4 linked regions of the Neodiprion lecontei genome follow. The protein of the gene in region 1 purifies or fractionates together with the protein of each later gene. This does not show direct contact. Links are inferred from orthologs where the notes say so. Each region holds a gene or a part of one and is shown on either strand. Other genes may lie near its edges. The genes, in order: nucleolar protein 56, nucleolar protein dao-5, ribosome biogenesis regulatory protein homolog and NHP2-like protein 1 homolog.

Region 1 (6,844 bases):
ATAAAATGAATAAGAATAGCCTTATTTTCAAACAGGAAGCTAACATGTTAGATATAGTTTATGGACTTTGCATGGACTAAGATAAAAAAAAAAAAAAAAAAATTTATGATCTTTGTTCGCATAAATTTCCCACAGATAGTTAGAGCCCTTGGATAAACGGTCCTGATGTAAAGTCCACGAGTTAGCAATATATCACAATCCTAGGATAATTTTACTCATATTTTAAACCCTTGTATTTCATAATTGTATATGTAAAACTTTTTAATTCACTTTCTTTCTAATCTACTTTCCTAAATTCATGTCAAGCAGGATTAATTAGTTTAATAAGAGAAACCCCCCCCCCCCCCTCTGTTTGATTGAAAATATTATTTAGTTCAAATTCGTGAACGATATGACATACATACGTTTAGAAAATATGTACCGAAGAAAAAAAATTTCCGCCTCGATTATACATTTTTTGTTTTAAATTTACGCGCAACATAGTTTTGCGGTTGTAACATTTTTCCGTTATCTTTTTTTTTTTTTTTTTTTCTCATCACGCCTGTCTTACATTGAGACTGAACTGCCCTATATTATTTTTTCCAATTTATGTATGTACCTGTACCTACCTACCAATGTATAATATCTTCTGATCTACATCACATGCATTTATTAATATACAGGGCGAAATAAATATAAAAAAAAAAAATAATAAAAACCCGTACAGTCAGCCTACGGATATAAGGACACGATACCTGTCTCAGGTTACTATTGTTATAGTTAATGAACATGTTGCAATAATGATATATGATAATGCATGGTGAAAATGAACCAGGTATATAAAAGATAAAATGTATAAATCATTTATAGGTTTTCACAATTAAAAGCAGACTGTTAAATTCAATTTGATAAAAGCGATTACTTTTAGTGCGATCAAAGCTGCGGCTTTGACAATTAAGTGTTGTTTTAATAAAAAAAAAAAACATATAGCCGAGTACTTTGAGTGCAACTTTGTATTGGAATAATTTTGTTTCACAAAGAAGCACGGTTTTTTGTTTATTATTATTATTATTTACTCACAGATCAGAAGCAGGCCTACTATAGATGATAATAAAAATACATGTGCGTGTACTACGGTTTAGAATTAAAAAATTGTACACACGATAATGTTAAGCTTCTAATAAGCTGGGTTCCCAATTGTATTATATATAAAATATATTTACCTGAATTGTAACTTTTAATTTAGATATTTATACCTGTTACAAGTTAATTTTACCATATTAAATGCTCATTGGTGCTGGTATTAATATATTGGATGTTTCTCAACTTTTTGCCATTCTTAATTACCCGTCTTTTATCCGTTATTGATTATCGTTATCAGAGAATCAGTCGGGTGAGTTATAATTAACAATAATGAAGATAATCATCCACAATATTCGATAGTTTTCAAGTATTTTTTAATATTCCGTATTCAATGTACAAATTACGGTATCAGCTTTTTACGGAAATGTACTCAAACATCCAAAGCATAAAGTATTTCTTTCTGTTTGGATGTTTGACAAAGATAAATGATCCAAGTGAATGTGTACAGAAGCAGAATGTCAAGTTTTTGCAGGATAAAAAACGTAAACATTCGATGACAATAATCATGGTTGCATGGTCAATCCTGTCAATTTCATATAACAAACTAAGAAAGGATTTGAATAATAACAATAAAATATAATTGTGGTGGTCCAGTGTCTTTATTTACAAAATTCGAACATTATGAATTAAACTTATCAAGTTAATAGACTGCAGACTGAGAGACAAGATACAAATACTTTGAACAAAAAGTGCTAATTGCGGTGTATTCCTTTGTCGTTATGTAAGATATTGTATTTTAGATTGACTATTCGACCATGTGTACACAAGTTCTATGCAAATACTGAAATATTTATTTCTCAACAGAATACCCAAACCGATTTCTTTATAGATAACCGAAATTAAGACTAAATTAGAAGAAACTTTTTTTTTCCATCGACTAAAATATTTTCTTCGACTTGAAATTACAATTTCAAACTAGATCTTAGCGGCGAAACAGGCTTCTGCATTCATTCAGTTGTCTGTCAGGTCGTAAAAAATCTTTCACACCTCACTCCTCTAAATCAGATGCATTTCAATACATACAAGTGTTACATGCATTGAAATGCATAAAAATGTAAAAGTAAACAAAATAGGTAACTAACATATCTTTTGTAAATATTGTAAACTTTACTGAGAAAGCCTCATTGTCTCAATGTCTGTAGTAATGAAAATGCACTCTTTCAAGTTTTGAATATCGTCGCATCATCTATTAGATTTCATTTGTAAATGAAATACAACAACTTAGATGACGAGATCGAATAACCTCAGCCGTAGTTCACTCACTCGTCATTTTGACTCTTGGACTTCCTTTTCTTCTTCTTTTTGGGTACGTCATCGTCGACCTCAGCTTCGACTGTACCATTGTCAACCGCAGCTCCGTTTGAGTTGCCATTTTCGATATTTTCGCTCTTTCTTTTCTTGTCCTTTTTCTTTTTCTTTTTCGGAGACTCTTCCTCAGCAGCGACGACAACCTGTGCAGCCTCTTCCAGCGCCTCTTTCATGACGTCTATGTTCTTCTTGGGCACGTCCCCTGTCTCATAGAATTTCAGCCTGTCCTCAACTTGCTGGCGCAATTTCTCGCCAAATATACTGGACGGGGTGTCTGTGAAACAGTCGATTCTAGACGCGATGGAACACTTGTTTGCCAGGTATCTCGAAATTCTTCCCTTATTTTTGGCACCTGCCCTTCCAATGAACGTGGAATGAAACAGCAACCCGTACTTAGGGGTATTTCCTTTAGTTTTCAATGCTCTGAAAAGAGCCTTCTCGGCACCCAAAATCTGCACCGTTGACGCGGGATACTTTGCCAAATTCGTCAGAGACCCTGCGTGCGCGATCAGTCGAGCCCCGACTTGATCGCCGATTAGAGTTGCTAGATTCGGAGCGACACCAGCCATTTTACACCTCAAGTATTCGGCCAGCTGTTTTCTATAGTCGGCCAAAGCGATTACTCGTCCAGCAAACATTTCTATATTCAGAAGATCAACAGGGCTGATGTCCATTCCCATAGAAGATTTCGACGCGTCAATTATAGCCTGAGCTTTTGCGCTATCCATTACAATTTCTTCGAGTGCTTCAAGTTTCTCCTCGGTTAACTCCTTGCGATTTTTTATAAGTTGCGCTACCTTGGCGAAGAGGTAATTTTCGGGTACAATTTTCACAAGCTCTGGAAAGTGGTAGCTGTACCACTCGCTGTTCACGGTAATGAATGAACAAAGATCAGCATTATACAATTAAGTCAAATAATTATTTTGTAATCGGATCACCGATACATTTCTAGTAACGTTTCCATGGGTGACAAAATTTTACACGTTTTAATGATTTTTTGAGAACTGTAATTCATCTAATGCGTAAATTTCGTTTTAGCTTATCTATTAACAGAGTTAAAAACAATTGAACCATTGATTTGATTTTAGTCATCCAGTATTGTAATTTTACAGTAAAATGAAGAAATTTTACCAACAAAATTTCTCAACCGAGTTCTTTATAATCATGATTTCATTTGAATATTTGCTCACTGGAATGAAACCAATATACCGAATGAATACAGAAAAGGAGGAGATTTCGACCGGCTAATAAATCAAATCAACTCAACAAAAAATTATTGATCTAGAACATAATTTCTGATTGGCAATAAACAAACGAATAAGGTTTTCAGAAGGCCAAAAAGTTTGTTTGAATCACAGATTACGCGACTGATAATTATGAAAATCAATGTTTGTAAGGTGATTATAACGTGAATGGAATCGTGAAACTTTTTAAACGGTTCGTAAAATGAACCGATCTCCATGAAATATATTACTCACCGTATACGCATGCTGAATGTGTTGACGTCCTTGTCGAGTTGATCAAGGAGCGCTATGCTCTGAATAATCATATTGTCTACCCTGTGTACGTTGAACTTGACTTTAGCCCTTGAATAGCTGTGTCCTAAACCAAGTTGGGCAACGCCAGAGCTTTTTGCTGTAAATCCCTTGACGAGATTGTGAAAATGATAGCGTATGCCTCTGATAAGTTCGGGCACAACGCCGGTATGATCGCACTTCACATCCAAAGCTTCGGCGATGCTTGCGCCAAGTTTAGGATCGGCGACGCCGAGAATGAGCTTTTTTCTCTTGCCAGGCAAACTTGAGTCTAGGAACAGTTTCAGGTCGTTCGGCACTACGCCTTCCGATATGCTGTTTACATTCTCTAGAGCAGCGAGAGCAGTCTTGAAAGGCAAAAAACCGACCAACTTAACAACTCCATGAAAACGGCCCAAGTCTGTTACCGACTCTTCGACTTGGGGCAAGAGAATGCCGACTTCTTCAAATTCCTTAACGCTGAACAAGGCGTAGCCCGCAGCATGTTCAAACAGGACGCAGAGCTTCGACTGTAAGAATTAACAAAAGATATCGAACAATTCGTTGTTGTTTTGTTTCCGAAAATCATTCTTCGCCAGTCGTTTCGTCGAATATCTCACAAGTGACGCGGCTTTGATATGAGATTGACTTTGATAGAAGAAAACGATGTTGGGAACAATTATTTGTACTTAGAAGTAAGTGAAACAGTTTGAAAATTGTGTAATGATTTTGATGCAACAGTTTTTCGAGCCCGAAACGAATCACGAGGAATGATATTGTTTACCTATCATGATCCGTCTCATGGTGAATTACAGAATAAAGTTTTTCGTCGGACTTTAGTGATACTATATAGTTTTGCAAATTCTGATGCTTCTTACCATTTTTTAATCACATTCGTGCACTATTAAACAAGTAAAATGCTATCGGAGATTTCACACACGACACATAGCCTCTACACGGCCATGTGCACGGGAAGTGAGTTTGACGCCATTTTAAAAACTTTTAGTTCTCAGCTCTCACATCACGGAGCAATCAAGATAGACAGTCATTTGTTTCGCAAATACATGGTATAGAGTTCAGCGGGCCGCCATTAGAGTGCGAGACGAGCAGTATGGCTGAACTTTTGAATCAAATGCTATGTAAAAGTCGATGGCAAATACTGACAAATATACGTGTAGTACCGTTCAATGATTCTCATAAAAGTATTTTATCGTGCTTGTGGTCAATTTGGAGGGTTGCCGTATCCGCTAATACATCGTAAGTAATGTCGTGGTTATGCAAAGCTGCGGTAACCTTTACCTCGAAAACAACGGCAGAATACGTGTTCTTCGATGATTGAACCGACACACAATTTTTCATGAAGATTTTAAGTACCGTCGATTTTAACAGGTAAGTGTATTGCTTTCATCGATTTTCTTTTTTCTTTTATCGAAGCCAGAGAAATATTCGATGGCTCGATGAGGGATTTTCTCTTGTTATTGGTTGCATTGAATTTAAATAAAATGGCCGGCCGCCAAGACTGATTGTAAGAAAATGAGTATGGCTAATTGGACTTTGTACACATTTTTGTCTTACTGCTAAAAATGAATGTGGAAACAATTGATCTTGAAAACATTAAAATGATTTTTCTATTTTCTACATGATTTTATCAGAATAAGTTACAGCCTAGTACTGTAGAATTTTGAATCAAAAGCAAATATTATGATTACGTTGTTGGAAATTTATTTTCGAATATCACACGAGTTTCGAATGAGATGAAAATTAGTTTCCTGGTTTTGATTGACGATACCCAGTACCGTGGAAAACATAACTCTCTAATCTCATTCTTTTCACAAAAACGTTAACAAATGAAGATAAATTCTGACTATTGATATCTTTTTATTTAAATTCAATAAATTAGATATGCTCATTTCCACACCACTGTAAGCAGTAGAGCATCCGGTGCGCTTTTTTTTTACGTGGTATCCCCAGTAGGCCTATTCCACGACGAAGAATTATAAAATTGACCTTAGTTTTTCGTAGATTTTCGGTATGATTATTTTTATGATTGCTAATTCGTCATTCGTATAGTAGAGTCGGTTAAATTTAACTACGAGATAAATTGGACAGTTCTATAGGAAGCACATTTCTTCTCGTATACTTTTCTGTAGAACAGTTCAATTTATTTGGTAGTTCAATTTAACCTACTGTAGTATATGTAGTTTGTTTGCTAATTGCCCATTATGGATAAAAATATGATTGTTTTTTATGATAGATGATCGAAATAATTTTTTTTTTTTCGACAATCGAACAAATTGTTGGTTATAGACACAGCTAAAACGGACAAAGGAGTAATAAGTTGCGATGAAGAAAAATTGTTATTAGCGAAAATATGAAAAAATTATTGAGCTAAAACAGACAAAGGTGTAATTACCTAAATCAGACAAAAGGTTTGACTAACCGAACCAGAAAACAAGCCGAAACAGACAAAAGTTCAATTAGCTGAAACAGACAAAAGTTCAATCAGCTGAAACAGACAAAAGTTTAATCAGCTGAAACAGACAAAAGTTCGATTAGCTGTAACAGACAAAATTTTGATCAGCTGAAACATACAAAGGTTTTATTAACTGAAATAGACGAATGTTTTAATCAACTGAAACAAACAAAAAATTGATTAGCTGAAACAGAAAAAAAATTTAATTAGCTGAAACAGATAAAACTTTGATTAACCGAAACAGACAACAGTTTCATTAGCCGAAATAGACAAAAGTTTAATTAGCTGAAATAGACAAAAGTTCGATTAGCTGTAACAGAAAAAATTTTGATTAGCTGTAACAGACAAAAGTTCAATCAGCTGAAACAGACAAAAGTTTAATTAGCTGAAACAGACAAAAGTTCGATTAGCTGTAACAGACAAAATT
Region 2 (8,230 bases), on another chromosome or scaffold:
ACATATATGTGGTTTGTTCGTGTACATTTTCTGCCAGTAATAGGAATTCTTCGATCCCTGTTCCCGTTTTATCAACGTGTACTTGATATAATGCGTAATCGGAACGGATAAAATTGTTTTAAAACATAAATCTAGCTTTGACAAGCTAAATGTCAGGTGATAAATACACCGTTGCCGATACGTCGGAAAGTAATGATGATTCTATAACGGTTTTACAATGAGAAATAATTTAATAATAAGTGGTTTGTAATAAAAATAAGACTCTTGTAAGAAATAGCTATGGCGTATATCATGTTGTAATCGTAATATTTCACGTGAAATAATCGATTTGTCAATTGTCGGTAAACTTAATGGAATTGACTGTCATGTCTATTTGACCACCGCGATAACTGCCACGTTTTTTTTTTGTTTTTTCATGACGGAACGATTTCCCCCTGGTGTGTTTCAGGTCCAGATTTGCTCTTTCTCCCCATGAGCCTCGGAAACCTTTCTGTTAAAATAAAACAAGATAATTTCGGTTATTACACGTCACATTTAACACTTCACTTGACGTAACGATTTTACATGGTGAACAGGATTTCATGATAATTTCAAGTTTTTCGGGTTTGTGTTACGAACAGTGAAAAATGTAAAAATTACCTTTAGAAAAACAGAAATGAATGATCTTGTACGTATTCGAATTTCGCAAGATATTGCCGAGTTTAAAGTCACTCGCAGAATTTAGATCAAACGGAATTCTTGAATTCTCATGTCTGGACACCATGTATTTATTATAAATTTTACTAAGATATCATGAAAGTACAAACAAGTCCTACAAGTCCGAAACTAATTGGAAAGACGAAAATTTAGTATCAGAGTTTCCAATTCCGTGCTTGACGCATATGAGCCTGATTTTGTGTCAGATTAACGTCATGCCAAATTCTTTGTTTACGTATAGAATTCTACAAAGTCACCACTGAATTCAGAACCAAACGATGTGCTTTTTTTTGAATATCAAGAATTTATAAAAATTCGACAAATGTAATGATTCTATTTAAAAAAAAAAAAAAAAAAAAACTCACTTGTGAATTACCGTACCAATTACAGGCTTTTTCATACATCCATGAGTCTTATGTTGAGCGATTACCTTATCTTTAAAAACTCCTATAATCAATCGTCAAAAGTGATTTTCTTATTTTGAGCGGGTGCATCTCCAAATGAATTTCTTTTCTCAAAACCACCCCCTCTGCCGCCCCTGAAGCCCCCACCTCTTCCACCGCCTCGGCCACCTTCGTCACCTCCCCAAGATTTTCTAAAATCACCTCCCCCTCGTCCACCACCGCCTCTGCCTCCATCTCCGAAACCTCCTCTGCCACCCCCTCCTCGGCCACCGCCTCTTCCTCCTCGGTCACCCCAGCTACCTCTACCCCCCCTGAAACCTCCGCGATCACCACCTCTCCCACCCCTGAAGCCTCCACGACCACCTCTATCGCCACCCCTTCCTCCGCGGAAACCTAAACCGCCTCTTCCGCCCCTGAAGTTACCGTTATTTGGGGTATGGGCACATTCCTCACCCTCTTCCTAAAACAAGAGAGAAACACAAGGTCAAGCAATCTGAAAGTTGATATCATTTGTCCGAGCACTGCCCTTTCTCGGCCACTGACACGAGACAGGCACCTGGAAAAATTCAGGATAATGCATGGAAACATGAGCGCAAACAATATCAGGTGGCAATAAGGCTTTCGAATTTGGTAGCCAAGTCCAAGATTCAGAACTAAACAATCGTCGGTTACGATAAACAATATGAGTATATACACTTTTCTGGTTACTTGAATTATCAGGACAAAGTCGTATAATTTTTTTTTTCAACAGATCAATCCTCAACTTTCATGAAAGAGTATGGGAGTGACCTTGTGTTTCTCATTTGTTTTCATACTCATTTGTTTCCGAGCATTTACCTTAGCTTCAAATGCATTACTCCCCAATCGTGGATCCACTTCGATCTCGTCATCCTTTACGCGTCTGAATGGTGTATTTTTCTGGTTCACAGAATGAAAGTAAAAGGTAAGTATATCATTGATGGTGGGCTCAAATGGAGCCATGAAAAATTAGTGCAATTTGTGACATTAATGATAGTGAAGTACTCTGTTAAAAGATATGAATACACAAAAACAAAGTAAACAACAAAGGAACTCCACGAATATTGGTGGTTGTAAATATTTTTCTGTACCTACATCTTTAACATTAGTTTTCAATTCGTCTACAAATACTGCTTCAATTAGGGAACATATAAGCGCTAGGGAAAAAGAGGATTACTGCTCAAATAAAAAATTTCATGCTTCAATTTTTGTTTTTAAAAGGTTGCGGGGACTAAATTTTCTATATTTAAATTTATGGATAAAATAAATGATATTGATGTCCAGAACTGTGTAAAACAGTTTCAGTGTACTATTGAGGGCAAATTTGATGATACAAGATAAAAATTGCTAGGTTTGCAACTAATAGTTACCTTGTCCCCATTTACATTGTTCCCAGCCTTTACAAAATTGCTATATTTGTCCTTTTGTTTTTTTGCAACTTGTTTTGCTTCTGTATCATCTTCATCGTCTTCATCGTTATCGTTATTTTGGTGTTTTCTTTTTTTGGACTCAGCTGGAGTAATTTTAGGTTTTGGCGTTTCCTCTTCATCGCTATCCTCAGAACTGGATGTTTCCTCAGCAACAGCTTTGGGGGCAACTTGCTTAGATGCAGGTTTCTCATCCTCTGTAGACTCATCAGAGTCATCACTGGACTCTTTCTTAGCTACTTGTTTGACAACAGCTTTAGCTGGTGTGGATTTTACAACAGCTTTCTGCACTGGTTTCTCAACTTCTGATGAATCATCAGAATCGTCACTGGATGATTCTTGTTTTGCTGCAGGTTTAGTTGGAAGTGCTGCAAACTTTTTTTTTGGTGGTTCCTCATCGCTGCTGCTATCATCACTTGAGGACTCTTTAGCCTGCCTAACGACAAGTTTGGTAGCTTTATTCGCAGGAGTGACTGGTTTAGGTGCAGGTTTCTCGTCTTCAGATGAATCCGAATCTTCGCTACTCGATTTTGCTTTCACAGCTGCCTTAGCTACCACCTTAGCAGCTGGGGACACAGTGGGCTCATCATCGTCGGAAGAGTCGTCTGAAGATTCTTCTTTTTTAGCTGCTGAACTTACAACCTTTATAGGAGTAGCCTTTACTACAGGTGTAACTTTGCTTGGAGTCTTTGCTGCCGGTTTTTCGTCTTCTGATGAATCATCCGAATCATCGCTAGAAGTCTCTGTTTTTGCGACTGGTTTTGCCACAGGTTTAGCGACGGGCTTGGCGCCAGCTTTAGCTGCAGGTTTGGAGCTTGATTTAACAGCTGGTTCGTCATCGCTACTATCATCACTATCGTCCGAGGATTCTTGTTTCGCTGCAGCTACTTTTGCAGGGATTACTTTAGGTCCAGCTTTGGCCATAGGTTTAGACACCACTTGTGTTTTGGAATTTTCTTCAGAATCTGAAGAATCGTCGCTGGAAGAAGCTTTTTTGGCATTTGGCTTAGCTGGGGTCAGTTTTGTTTTTGAAGAAATTGTTTGAGCCGGAGCTTCGTCCGACGAGCTGTCATCTGAACTTGATTCTTTTGCGGCAGGTGTTAATTTAGCTACAGGTTTAGGCGGGGATACTTTGACGGCTGGTTTTTCATCTTCGCTAGAAGACTCTTCTGATGAACTTTCTTGCTTTTTGATTTCTGGCTTTTTTGTTACTGGCGCTTTGCCGTTAACTATTGGCACTTTTTTAGGCACCTCATCTTCGCTCTCCGAACTTGAATCTGAACTGCTGTTTGTCTTTTGTGCTTTAACATTAACTTTTTTCGATGAATTCTTTTGAAAATGCTGTATTACTTGCAGTATTGTTGGAGAGCCTTTTGCAAGCTCAGGCTGAAATTAAAATCGTTCAAAATTTGTTTAGAATAAATTTTCAATTTGATCAAAGTACTGAGAAATCCTAGCCATTTAATTCCAATTCACACTGCATACGACACACATTCTTTTTAATGTGTGGGGGATTCCAGCACATTCGGATCGCAATTCTGCGCATGGGTCACTGATTTTGGCAGCATTTCAGATTTTGATTCTTGGCGAACCCAAAACAACTATTCTAGGGTTATACGGCCTGATGCTGAATGGTCCACGAAATATTGACTTTTCAAAATTTGAAAATAACCATTCATTCGATGCAAGGTGATCTTTGAACATGAATATATTGGCTCCCTGACGTTAAAAGATTATTTTCAAAACTAAAAAGAGTGGTTGCACTCCAGCAGGCGATAAAAGAAATTAAATAATTAAAAAAAACTAAGAAAAAAAAAGCACCCTTCTATAAACTTGAGGATCTCTTAAGTATTTAGTGGAATTTTCAAGTAGAAAATTATGCCCTTCTAGTTTAAAAATCAAAATCAAAACCTCTCGGAATATCTCGCAATTAAAAACTGTCCTTAAATATTTATCAATTTCACAGTTTTAAAGATAAATCCTTTGCACTCGCAAATCAGTTGCGAAAGTATTCTACCAGCATCAGGGAGACAAGATATACATGCTCAAAGATAGATCCGTTGTATCAACTAATTGTGTTTTTTTAAACATTAAACCGTTAACCTCTCGCAAACCATTCGAGGTCCCGTAATTCTGGAACAGTTGTTGTAGGTCAGCCAAAAACTCAAAATCTCCGATGACTCGAATGGATGAACTGAAACCCCCTATATACGAATATTTATATATATTTATAAAAGAAGTTTGATTTCTAAGTATGTACTCGTTTCATCTTAAGTACATGGAATGTGAAGACAAATACTTCATTTAAAAATCTACCACGTACATAATATGTGTATATATTTTTTGTATTCATCGCTATAATATACACAAATCATCAGCGCATAAAACATTTGTACATGGTTATGTTATGTCGCAAATGGAATAAGTATTCAATTTCTATTTGTCACGTAAAACATGGGTTTGCAATATTTTAGGTTACAATGTAACTGTAGAATTAATACAAATATTGAAATATTATTGCAATTATTTTTAAACAACTATATCAAGTGCACGAAGAGTGAAAATTGGCAATTATACAGTGTTAATTTTAGGAATCTCTAAGAAGTACAATATTGAAGGTATATTAGCTGTACTGAAATCAGTACCTATTTAGAGATAAATTAAGTAATAACGATGAATGACACCGTGATTGAAAAAAGATACAGGTGAAAACACTCCCAATGCTAATTGGCAATAAACTGCTTACGTGAGTAAACACGTTTCACATTCAGTCAAGCAGGTTCGAATTTATTTCTCATATGTGACATGGGAGGTTAGAAAATCTTGAGTCTCGTATTCAAGCTTCGTGAAAGAAGATCGAAAAGACATGTGTTACGGAGTACATTTTAATGAGAGAAATAACGAGACTCGTGTGGATGAAATATTGTGCTTGGTTTAATTGCTTTATAAGAAGCCGTTTCGATTTCGAAATTATCCACGTGGTGCGGCTATCGAGGCTGCCAATTATCGGCCGCGGTATATCGTATAGAATATAGTCACGCAAGGGTAAAATACATCAATTCTTTTCTGAAGCTTACCGCTTTTGTTTTTTTCTGAAAGACTTTCGCCAGGGATGTGTCCTTCTTCAATAAATAATCATAAACGAGCGCGGAGATCGTAGGATCGTCTATGGAGGCCATGATGGACGCGTGCGAAGAGACGGCGTACTTCGGAGCGCATTGAAATCGGCCGCTAGCCATAAGACAGATACGCTATACAAGATCACCATATCACCTACCATTTACCACGCTACGTTTCGGTGCTACCTCGAACGTCACACTTGCGGCGTGCTCGAGAACTTACTTTATCGACTGAAGTTGTCGCCATATAGAGTGTCTCAGCTGCAAGTGATCAAACTGATAGGGGTTACAGAGGAAGTCGAACTCATATAGCCGAACTGAGTAAATTAACCGAAAGAACATGTATCCGAAGTCATTCGCAAGATACGACAGGTTAAAAAATACCCGCTAAGCGCCGGCATGTAGACAACTGAGTACACAGTAGGCAGCCGTTAGTGGTCATGTTGATCGTTCGAAACGCACGTTTAATTTGCGTCTCGAAAATCAGTTATTGAAAAAAAACCGTTGATCATATGATTGTATAAATAATATTATTTATGTCATTCTAAATATTTCTAAATATGTCCTGTGAGAAAAAGACTTTTTCCCGCGTCTCTTTAGCTCTTTAATTGAAAAACCATGAATTGACGTTGTTACAAACGTTTTGCACGCGATAGTTGTTGGTTATGAAGTACTTTGTTACCGACGTGTTTAGTTACTCGGTTAATATTACGTGAAACTACTGATACCCCCAATCCCTTCCAGAGCCGCTGAATCGTTACGAAAAATAGCTCAGGGTTGAGTCTTTATACATCACATAGGTATCACGGAATATTAACGCGGGAAAAAAGAAGATAGTCTTGTATCTATGTAAAATACAATCATCTTATATTAAACTTGATGCAAACAGGACATATATTATTTATTTAAATTACTCTCATCAGATTTGCGTATGCATAACTTTGCATTTTTTTTTTAGCCTGAATTAATCTTTTGATTGAGATGACCTGCTGAAGGAATCCATCATTATGAAAGCGCATCTTTTCAAGTTCAGAGTTAGTTAAATGTTGCGTAACAATATACAAAATGCATAATTCATCACTACCATATCTATATTGATTCGCTTAACCATATTTCACACTGATAAACTTTCTGGTCTCTGCAAGGTAGTTCACATTGCCAAATGTATATTAAATTTTCAGTTCCGCACTGCAATCAGTTAGCTTTGTCGAGAAGATCTTGACAAGTATGACACCATCTCCTACATGATTTTTTTGAGCATCAAGTTTCATGACAGGCTCTGGAAGAAATGAATCTTGATTGCCTTTGACCTCTAGCTCTGTGGTTCTTTTTTTCGGCTTTATAATAGAATTATTTAATGGTAAAGTTGTGAATGTCAAGTAGGGAAGGTTGGGGCAAGACGGCCCCCCAAAGCCGGTTATTACTCGTGGCTTTCAACCATCAAGTCAGTTAACTTTTGACCTATTTCGAACAAATCCATGGACATTTTGATGAAACTCGGAAAAAAAACTTTAATTGAAGAAATTAATTAATTAAAAAAAAATTATTATTTTCAAATGCTGCTAGTGGCTCATTTTACCCTACAAGTAGTCTACTTAGTAGACAATCAGCCTAAAAATGAATAAGTACATATTCTTCATAATTTGACTTTAAAAATGTAAATAAATCTATTTTTTAGAATTTTTGGCTGGTCCATTTTGCCCGAGGTATCTCGCGTAGGGTTACAAATGAGCTAATATATCAAAATCCCGATAATTTGAAAAAAAAAAAAAATTTTTTTTGACCAAATTTTTGGAGGGGGCCTTCTTGTCCTAGAGGGGCCGTCTTGCCCCACCCTCCCCTACTGAAATTATAAATTACCTTGGATTAGTGGTTTATGAAAAAGCAAGCGTAGCCTCACTGTTTTCCAATTTTAGGAAGTGAGTTTCATAAAAATACAAGCAAGCCATTGATTCGTTGAAAACCTTAGGAAATATCCATGTTATTACTCGTCACTTTTTGAAAAATTATGTTCAATAATGATAGATTGAAAGAACTATTCATACCATAATGGCTGCCTTCATGATCATTTCGAACACATTGAATTTCAAGTGAATTTTTAGACATATTTGCAGGCAAAAATTTGTCCATTATTAGTATTATTTTAAAACGTTCACATTTCATCTGTAATTTTCGTGAAAATCATCTGAAAGGAAAATAGTCATATGGGTTTACTCAAATGGAAGAAATTTGTGATGCATTCAAAGCCTCTTGATCAATTAGATAAATTTGCCATGTGAATCTTAATTCCAATTACCTTCATTTCTGAATGTTCAGCTAGTAGACTTCTGATTCTTGTTAACTGCATGTGATATGTCTGAACAGTTATGAATCTTGCATTCTTTACCCATGGAATGGTAAAAATAGAATTTCAATCTAGATCTTCAGTATCAATATTCTCTTTTTTTACGATATTTTCACCCGTGTGTGACACCTGCCTCAGCAGTGACGATTTCCTCCTTTTTCTGGTAAACCTAATCGAATGGATCTTTTCTGGCGTCATTCTGTTAATCAATCGGCATAATTT
Region 3 (4,548 bases), on another chromosome or scaffold:
TTTTATATTATTTTTATATTATCCCATTGAATCGCAACGATTCTGCACCTGCCGGCTTTATACTCCGATTACGCGATATGTACTTTCATTCGATATATCTAATACACCATCATCCTACGCATGACACTCGAGTATTGTGCGCCTGCTCGTACCTTGCTTAGATCAGGATTGTCCGCGACTATGGCAGGAACAAAATATTGAAGATAAAAATTCTCCGGCGAACGGAACCCCTTTTTTTAAATCTATCTCCTCACCCGAAAAAGACCTACAATTATAATCCTCCGACAATTTCTTTTCTCTCCACTTCTGTACTTTGACTTTTCTTTTACGTCGTAGGATTCGTGTTCGGAAATTGAAAAACAGGACGGCATTTCTAGGTATAATTCAGAATTCTCTTCCTCAGGTAAACAGATTAAACTACCAATCCTTAGCCAACATCGTAAATCTAAGTTTCTATGCAATTTAAATCAATCGAGGAGATTTATTGTTATCAGATTTATTCTTTTTCGTCTATACAGATCGTGCATGTCCGACAACACATTTTTTCTATCATTCACAGCCTCCGTCTTGGGGCGATAAATTTTTGTTATTTAACTCATGAGTCGCAAAAAATTAACGCCTGAGGCACAGGCTATCGATTATTCCGTACTTTTGAACCTTATTTCTTTTTTATCGATACAGTAGGTACTTGAGTATCCTTTGTACTACATGAGCCCTCTCGGAGTCGAGCACATCGGCTTTTGTACTGTGAAGAGCTGCTATCTTTGTGACCCGTTCTGGAGTCAGCAATAAAGATTTTCGGCAGAAATTTATTCCGTAATCTTCGAAAATGTTTCTTTCTTTTTTATTACAATCTTTTTCGAACACGATACAAAGATGGGAAATTTTATAATATCGGATTGGCGTAAATTGGCGAATGGATGTGATCCCGTCAATTTTTTTGCCGTCGTTTTCTTCCACCCACTTTGGTGTGCATATCTCGCTTTCCCTTGCCTCCTTTCGGCTTCTTGCCACCCTTCTTACTGATTTTACTCCTCTTCTTTGGCCTTGGCGATTCGTCGTCCGTCTGCCGGTTTTGGGATCTGTAATTGATAGTTTTACATAATTTAACCAATGGTTAACGTAGTTGACAACGGTCGCGAAATTTCGCATAAGACATTAAACTAATTCTTTCAAGGAGAGTAGGGATAACTTACTCAGAGGGGTTTGAAACAATCGAGATCGCTGGTCTTTTAGATAAGATTTTATCCACAAAACCCAGGTTCCGTTTCACCTCCTCTCCAGGTTTGAACATTGGTTGTTTATTTTTCTTTGATCCCGGCACCATTTCTTTGATGTTCTTTGCATCCTTTTCCTTGGGAAGTCTGTGAAAGTGAAATTGGACACAACAAACTGAATAAGTCATTACTGCATTTCCAATTGTACCGTTTTCATTTCAATTTTGGCATTAAAACAAAGCCGTTACCTGTTTTGGAATTTACCGACTGACGCCGTAGACGATCTGGCAACAGTGACGGCAGTCGCTATTTGACGTGTATCTTGATAGTAATCAGAGCTTGGTATACCAACGCGAGGAACCTTCACATTCTTCGCTTTAGCCAAGTTCCTTAGTCTCTGGAGTTCATTTTTGCTGCGCTTCTCCTGTTTTGCTGTTGTCTTCAGGGATAGGTGGTCGAGAGTTGGATCTGCATGGTCACTGACTTCGACCAGCCAATTCTTTTCAGATTCTGCCTGCGTTCGTTTGTAACCGTAGTTTGGAATCCATTTCTAAGAAAACAAATAAATCGAGCAATTACATCTTGGATGAATAAGTGCGCGCATCATTTTCATAATTAGAAAACAAAAGTTTACCTGCAACTGCTCGTCCCATGTAACTTTTGACTTTCGTTTTCTGTTACTCTTGATGCCCTTTTCCTTGGCGAACTGTTGCCACTTTGTCAGGGGCTTAGGCTTTGGTAGTCGATGTGTTCTGGGAAGTACGAATCTAGGTTTCGGCAGCGTTGCTACGACCGCTTCGTCCACACGCTTTGTCGGCAGTTCCCAAATCCGATTTATCAACAACTGGACGTTGTCCCTAGTCAATTGCTTGAAGTAATCCTCCCTGTTGGTCCTGGAAAAGACAACAACGGGTTTAAAAACCGGAACTTTCTATTCTGTATCAGAGATTCACTTATGCAAATGGTTACACTACTTGATTTTCTCAGTGTCGAACGAGTTGTAGTCGACCGCGAGCAGCGAGCCTTCGTCTATTTCCACCTCCAAGTGCTTTTGCACCTCTGTTGTCCGCAGGCGTTCATCCTGAGCGGCTTTTTCGAGGACCTGCGATACTATGTCCATCCTGGATGCGACGCACGTAACCTAAAAGTTTCCACGCTTCGCACTACGTGCGATATTTTTAACCTCCTGATTTTACGGTTAGGATTTAGTGATGCATAAGAACCCATAGATGGCGGTGAAAGGTGGGTGAAAGAAAATAGTAGCATAGAATTCGTAGCCGAGAGATGTTGAAGCTGAACTGTTTTCGTGTGCGAACAAGTGCGCCAACTCGTGTCTAATGTCTTCTTTTTAACCATTTCGACAGGAGGTCTAGTAGCTGATTATTCTACAGCCATTTGAACGTCAAGAGCTGCGTGGCTTGGTTCTGCAATTTTTATTGAGAATATTTGAGTGTATTTGAGATGGTAAGCTGTGCCGCCTGTGGATATTCGAAAACGCGTAAGAGAAGGGATGAGCGGATCACTTTCCATGTGTGAGTAATTTTGCAACATTCCAATTTAGCTATTGTCCGTGACTTGAGGGTTAAGTTTCTTTCTAAATGTTTTGGTGTGTTTCCCATTATTACCTATCAGGTTTCCAAAACGTCCGGACAGGCGGGATGCCTGGATCAGGTTTATGGGCCGAGCTGACTACAAACCAACGCCGTACAGCAGACTCTGTTCTCAACATTTTACTGATAGTTGCTTTGATCGTGCTTCTACAGCGAGAGTGCAACTCAACAATGATGCTATACCGACAATTGGAATCAGCAGGCTGAAATATGTTAGTATCTCTTGCATTTGTTCATAAAAAATATCCACGCTAAGCAATTCTTATGTTGCAACAATGGGATCTTTGTAGGCTCGGATGATGCAGGATGAAATTAATGAGCGATACTTGTCCCCTACAACGGACAGTGAAGACTCAGATGTCCCTATTGCTGACAAAATTCCATTGTCTAATTCAGAAGTCTCATTGAAACAGATTGAAGTCTATAATGGTCAAAAACCTGGTTCGAGCAGAATAACCCTGGTGAAATTGGATCCACGTACGGCTGCGGAACTGAAAAAAAACCTCAAATCCGTACTGAAAGCACCTTTGAGTACTCCTGCCCCCTCAGTATCGTTAGAGAAACCAAATACCGTGATTAATCATGCTGCTGACAGTGGTGGAGAGGTAACTTTGCTCAAGCAGAAAATTAATGAAATGGAGAATGTGGACAAACTAAAGACCCGCAAGATTCAGAACCTGCAGAATATCATTGGTAAACAGAGGAGGAAAATCGATTCACTAAATAAACTCTTCAGTGATCTTAAAGAACTCTACAACTCAACTAGGACAAAAAGTGGAGTGACAAAAAATGGACATGGGGTGTAGCATTGCCTGAAATAAAATAGGTGTACGTACGAGTCCTAACGGAGGTGAACCGGTGAGCAATTTGATTGTTAATAAATCATTGTTTAGTGTTACCTCTGATTAAGCAATCACTGAATCAGCTACGAGTTTTATTATATGTTATGCTGCTTGGACAACGAAATGTTCTATTGATAATGATGTAGAATTTTTTCATTATTACAGATTGCTGCCATCTCACGGAAGTGCTATGGGATTGCAATCTGATTGAAATATCACTTACATCTAGATGAATTTATGGAACAACAACTCATCCTGAATCGCGTTACTTCTAGGCATGTATTGAGAGTAAAATAATCGTCTGTGTCGAATATTTTATTTCCGAGATCAATTTTAAAATGTCGGATTAATGCTAGAACAGGATTCCGAGCAACCAACTTTTTGATAGATAGAGTGTCTAACTCATAACTCGTTAGGTAGAACTCGGAGTTTCGCAATGCTATCGTTGTCATTTATAGAACTTTATATTTGGTAAAAGAAAGCTATATTTTCGAAATTGCAGGAGTTACAAGCATGACAGCCTAAAAGACCGCGAATCTTCAGGAATACTGTTATGGAGAGCGGATTTTCTTTGTATCGTATAATACCAGTGTTAGGTGATCTAAGAAAGTGTAACATTATATGACACGTGGTTTAATCATTATCGTCAACATTAAATTTGAATGATATTTTGGATTTGAGACGATAAAAGTGTGAAACTATGCATGTTGCTAGATTATTTTATACTTACATGATAATCGAATGCGAATACTGGAGTTATGCTGAAACTATGTTACTGAATTACATGTATGAATTTGCATTTAATATTTAACAAATATAATGGATCATCCTGGAATATATGTAACTTGTTGAATGCAATTAGCCAATATTTCTGCGTTA
Region 4 (4,261 bases), on another chromosome or scaffold:
TTCTTATTTATAAATCGTGTTTTATAGTTTGAACGAGTTATTGGTACACGATCGCAATGGCATGGTTTTTTCTGATAGCAACGATCTGGCGCAGTTGTTGATAAAATGGTTTCAAAATTTCCCTGACAATGAAGAACAGCAGTTCAAGGATAAAAAATTCCGTGAGCAATTAAAGCTTTATCAAGAAGAACATTGGCATAATCATTGGTTGAAAAATGCAGCACCTCTTTTTACATAAATGAGTTATGTACTCGCCTTTTTATCAGCGAACATTACTTTCATTACAATTACGCTGAACGTATTTGCTTCTTTTGCAATTGAAGCAAATCATTTACCGCAAAGCGAAAAAAAAGGAACCAGTACGATTAATGCCAAACTTATCGCAGTTGTATAAGTAACTAATTATCACTCAAGGTTGGTGTGTTTTCTATGAAATAATATGATTAGTTTACTATTAATAACCGAATTAACATTATAATTATGTCGAAGAAGTTCTATTTATTAGAAATGAAGTTATTCGACAAAAATTCTAGTGTACTACATACCTGTGATTTTTCTAACAATATATACAAAATAGTTTTTCAATGCCTTGGAGTATTGAGGCCTATTTTACACAAATACGTTAACATTTAAGAGCTGTGGGTATGCAAATTTTTTTTTATCGACCTTAATCGTAATTGCTTTAATCGTTGTTTTATTTCACAGAGTATAATCTCGTTTACTTAACTTTGCTTCAGTCCATATTAATTATTAATTTCGAATCAAATATATGTTACGTTTTATGTTGTATTTAGAACGTTTTATCCATTTTTATTTCCCCTATGTAATAAACAGCATCCATTGGAATACATAGTAATAGTGTATAGATGAGCAGACACGAACAGTAGCACCGTCTTGTTTCAAATATGAGTCCAGGTTTTTGATACTGCATATGACTGGAAGACTCTATTGACTTATATCCAGATGTCCCTTATTTAGGTATTATTATAATATGATTTCTGATACGTAGTTTTGAAATCCAAAATCATCTTATATTTGAACCAATACAGTATTTATTTAAAAATTACAACCAACCTTCAGTGTTGTCATTTTCGTTTGCGAACAACAGTTGCCATTAATTCTAGATGTTTCTTTTTCTTTGTAGTGAAATGCATGAATTATTCCAAGTTTGAAAAGTCATATTCATGAAAGGCCGAGCCATGAGCAAAGTTACTGATCACATGACTGGTAGAGCGACATTACGAAAGGTAGTTAAAAGATTATGTTTTTTGTTACAAAGTTTCATTTATTTACTGACCTTCCGAATTCACAAAAATGTTTTGTAAATGGTTGCGGCAGATGGTATTGAAAGAAATGGGTATAATATTCAAATATTGGTAATAATACAATTATTTGTAGTGCTACAATATGTATGTTATACATATACATATGCATATGCATATAAATCAGTTTCATTTTCGTTGAAATAATGTCTGGTAGACTTCCTCGGACGAAGAAGCAAAACAGGATTGCGTAGAAAAATATGCGAATTTATTCCGCGGTGTTTTAATTTTTAGAATCAGGTACTCCCGGAGGTCTTTTATTACAGCCTTTACACTAATAGCCGTTCGATTTCTTGTTGGATAGCCAAAATCTGTGGCTTAAGCTGAGATCCTTCATTTACTGTTACCGAGCAAGCAACCACGGGTCTGGAAACTCCGCAAGCTCGTCCGAGTGCTTGCTTGCTACGAACAAAGACATAGGGAACATTCTTGTCTTCGCAGAGTAGCGGAAGGTGGAGTAGAATCTCCAGAGGTTCTGCATCTGCAGCCATCACGATAAACTCTGATAGACCTCGATTAAGCGTCTTTGTAGCTTCGTTTGCTCCTTTGCGAAGCTGCTTGTAGTTCATTGCTTGTTGAACCAAATTCAAGATCTTTGCTGTCAGAGTAGCATCGGCCAGCGGGTATGCTTTCGGGTTCACCTGATCGGTCTGTAAAATATTCATTTATTAAATCAAACGCGGTTGTGGTCAATTCTATTCGCTCGTTTGCAGCTCTTCGTACGGTTCACTGCGCGTCCACGTGCTAAACGACATAACCTCTTGTCGATAGCGCGTTGACTGTGTAATTTGTACTGGATGTAGTTAATTCGGTAACACGTGACTGGGACTTACCATTTTTTAAATATATCTGTTACTGTGGAATGAAATGAGGTATCGAAATACCCGGTTATAACCTCTCGGCGATAAATTGTAGAAATCGCTTCACTGAGGAACCTGGAACTTTGCCGAACGTTGCCGCGTTTCTATTACGTATATTCGTCGTTGACTGAACTACGCATGCACAGGAAGTATTGGGAAATATAAGCATAGAGTATCAGTCTACAGTGTGTTGCTTTCATCTGTAAAGGATCGCGTCACTGCTCCCGCAGCATATCGCCGTCCTGAACTGAAACTACGCAGTGCACTCGTCTGCGGCATGATACCTTTTGAATCGAAGCTTTTAAATGCCTTCTTAACCGGTTGAAACGAGTTTGAATCCCTGATTTGAATGGTTAGTAAATGGACACGCGATTGATTTTCGTTTGTGCTTTCATAATGGTGTGAAATGAAGAAAAAAGTCTTAGTTGCAGATCTTGGAAAATATATAAAAAATATTGTAGTACTATCAAAATTGTAGTACTTTAAGAGATTTTTCGAGTGTATGAAAAACATGTAAAACGATATTTAATTTCACAAGATGCATGACAAAAATTTGTACCAATTCTTAATGAATTTCTAAAAAAAAAAACAAACGGACGCGTCAACGTTTGAATGATAAAATTTCTAACAAATTTTTACAGGACTGAAAAGAGATTTCTGATCGAACTAACCCCATATGGAATGTGCACAAGAACGTTATTCTCGAGGAGCTTTGACCTTGGTACACCGTATGTATGTACATTATTTTACCATAGTCTATGAATGAACTTTACTCCGACCACTCGTAGAGCTTCTTAAATTATTGAATTCTAAATGTACACGTATGTATGGACAATATGCGTCTGGTTCCCTACGGTTCAAGATAAAAAACGACGTGGGTGTATATGCATCAATAAACACGGACTAAAGTTGAGAAAACCAGATAGCATTTTAGACTGTACTCAACAATCGTATTATATCGTGAAGAATACCCTCTTCAGTCTCTCTAGAACTTTTCACTTATGCAAATTCGCATTCTCACAAATATTGACGGTTGAATGTACACTGAGGGTAAGAAATTCTTGAATCAACAAAATAGATATTGTTGGTGTCCATTAACTTCAATTTAGTATTCCTTATTTGGTTTAAATACGATGACTTCAATTCAACAATTTCGATTTAGTTAGTTTGTCAAAATGATTCAGTCAAGTGAATTCCTTAATTTAAAAAAAAAGCCTTTCTTATCGCGATCGAGTGAAGTATTGACTCGAGTGAACTTTTTCACGTGTTTCCGAAATTGAGTCAACTAAATACCAGTTCATATATTTGAAGTTTATGTATTGTTCCTCCAACTCGTATGTTTGCTGACAGAAAAAGTTAGATACTTCAAGTAAAATAAGTATATGAATCTAGCAAACAGAACATTTACATCGATAAATGCCACACTTTGTTGATCCAACCGGAGCTTAGTTGGCGTAACTGGTTGAATCAGTTGCACTAATTTGTTTACGAGGTAAAAGGAAAACCACATGCTTTGAAACACGCAGACAATATATTCATCGTTAACGTCAGTATACTAGTATTATAAGCGTAGTATTATAAGTAGCTTCAGAGATAGTTACAAAACCGGGTAGTCGGCCAAGAATTTGGTTACGGATAACCTAGGACAAATTAGACATCAAGCCTATAACAATTAAAGGGAACGTTATGCCATTATCCGACTCATCGAAATTGATATTGACGACGCGTAATTTAAAACTACTGAACATGTAAGGTTTATGTATGTATACTTCCTCATATTCGGCAATAATCTTTCGAGTGTGCCCTAGTAATGTCAAATTATCAAGTAAATTCCATAAAATTTAGAGTCAACAAAATTATAAAAAACATCATTCGAAGAATACATTTTGTGCATTTGAATAATTCTAATGTTCAGTCAATTCAATTTTTGTAACAACAAATTTTATTACTTCAACCATTGAACTCTTGACTCAACAAAACATGAATTTGACTCAACAAGCTCAATTTTTTTTTATTTCATATTTTTAAAACAAAACGATTGAGGTGCGTTCCATCACATTTTTAGTCATTACAATCGCA

What was found.
Region 2: the proteins of nucleolar protein 56 (region 1) and nucleolar protein dao-5 purify together in Homo sapiens (affinity purification with mass spectrometry; 6 studies listed by BioGRID and IntAct, with this or other methods). This does not show direct contact. The link is inferred for Neodiprion lecontei from reciprocal best matches to the Homo sapiens genes NOP56 and NOLC1.
Region 3: the proteins of nucleolar protein 56 (region 1) and ribosome biogenesis regulatory protein homolog purify together in Homo sapiens (co-immunoprecipitation; 3 studies listed by BioGRID and IntAct, with this or other methods). This does not show direct contact. The link is inferred for Neodiprion lecontei from reciprocal best matches to the Homo sapiens genes NOP56 and RRS1.
Region 4: the proteins of nucleolar protein 56 (region 1) and NHP2-like protein 1 homolog fractionate together in Homo sapiens (co-fractionation; 3 studies listed by BioGRID, with this or other methods). This does not show direct contact. The link is inferred for Neodiprion lecontei from reciprocal best matches to the Homo sapiens genes NOP56 and SNU13.

Annotation. Positions count from the first base shown.
Region 1 is NC_060262.1:3,830,338-3,837,181, forward strand, and holds nucleolar protein 56, read right to left. Parts: upstream 4,979-6,844; 5' UTR 4,826-4,978; coding exon 4,823-4,825; intron 4,475-4,822; coding exon 3,909-4,474; intron 3,295-3,908; coding exon 2,382-3,294; 3' UTR 1,029-2,381; downstream 1-1,028. UniProt on the Homo sapiens protein: Involved in the early to middle stages of 60S ribosomal subunit biogenesis. Required for the biogenesis of box C/D snoRNAs such U3, U8 and U14 snoRNAs. Part of the small subunit (SSU) processome, first precursor of the small eukaryotic ribosomal subunit.
Region 2 is NC_060260.1:24,039,616-24,047,845, reverse strand, and holds nucleolar protein dao-5, read right to left. Parts: upstream 6,131-8,230; 5' UTR 5,785-6,130; coding exon 5,623-5,784; intron 3,932-5,622; coding exon 2,489-3,931; intron 2,019-2,488; coding exon 1,938-2,018; intron 1,561-1,937; coding exon 1,150-1,560; 3' UTR 1,127-1,149; exon of another isoform or gene 1,062-1,126; intron 491-1,061; downstream 1-490. UniProt on the Homo sapiens protein: Nucleolar protein that acts as a regulator of RNA polymerase I by connecting RNA polymerase I with enzymes responsible for ribosomal processing and modification.
Region 3 is NC_060266.1:947,726-952,273, reverse strand, and holds ribosome biogenesis regulatory protein homolog, read right to left. Parts: upstream 2,438-4,548; 5' UTR 2,338-2,437; coding exon 2,192-2,337; intron 2,111-2,191; coding exon 1,852-2,110; intron 1,768-1,851; coding exon 1,466-1,767; intron 1,365-1,465; coding exon 1,197-1,364; intron 1,083-1,196; coding exon 932-1,082; 3' UTR 809-931; downstream 1-808. Other genes in the region: THAP domain-containing protein 2, read left to right, coding at 2,679-2,749, 2,850-3,039, 3,118-3,633. UniProt on the Homo sapiens protein: Involved in ribosomal large subunit assembly. May regulate the localization of the 5S RNP/5S ribonucleoprotein particle to the nucleolus.
Region 4 is NC_060261.1:30,699,694-30,703,954, forward strand, and holds NHP2-like protein 1 homolog, read right to left. Parts: upstream 2,347-4,261; 5' UTR 2,159-2,346; coding exon 2,156-2,158; intron 1,973-2,155; coding exon 1,592-1,972; 3' UTR 1,030-1,591; downstream 1-1,029. Other genes in the region: chitobiosyldiphosphodolichol beta-mannosyltransferase, read left to right, coding at 28-238.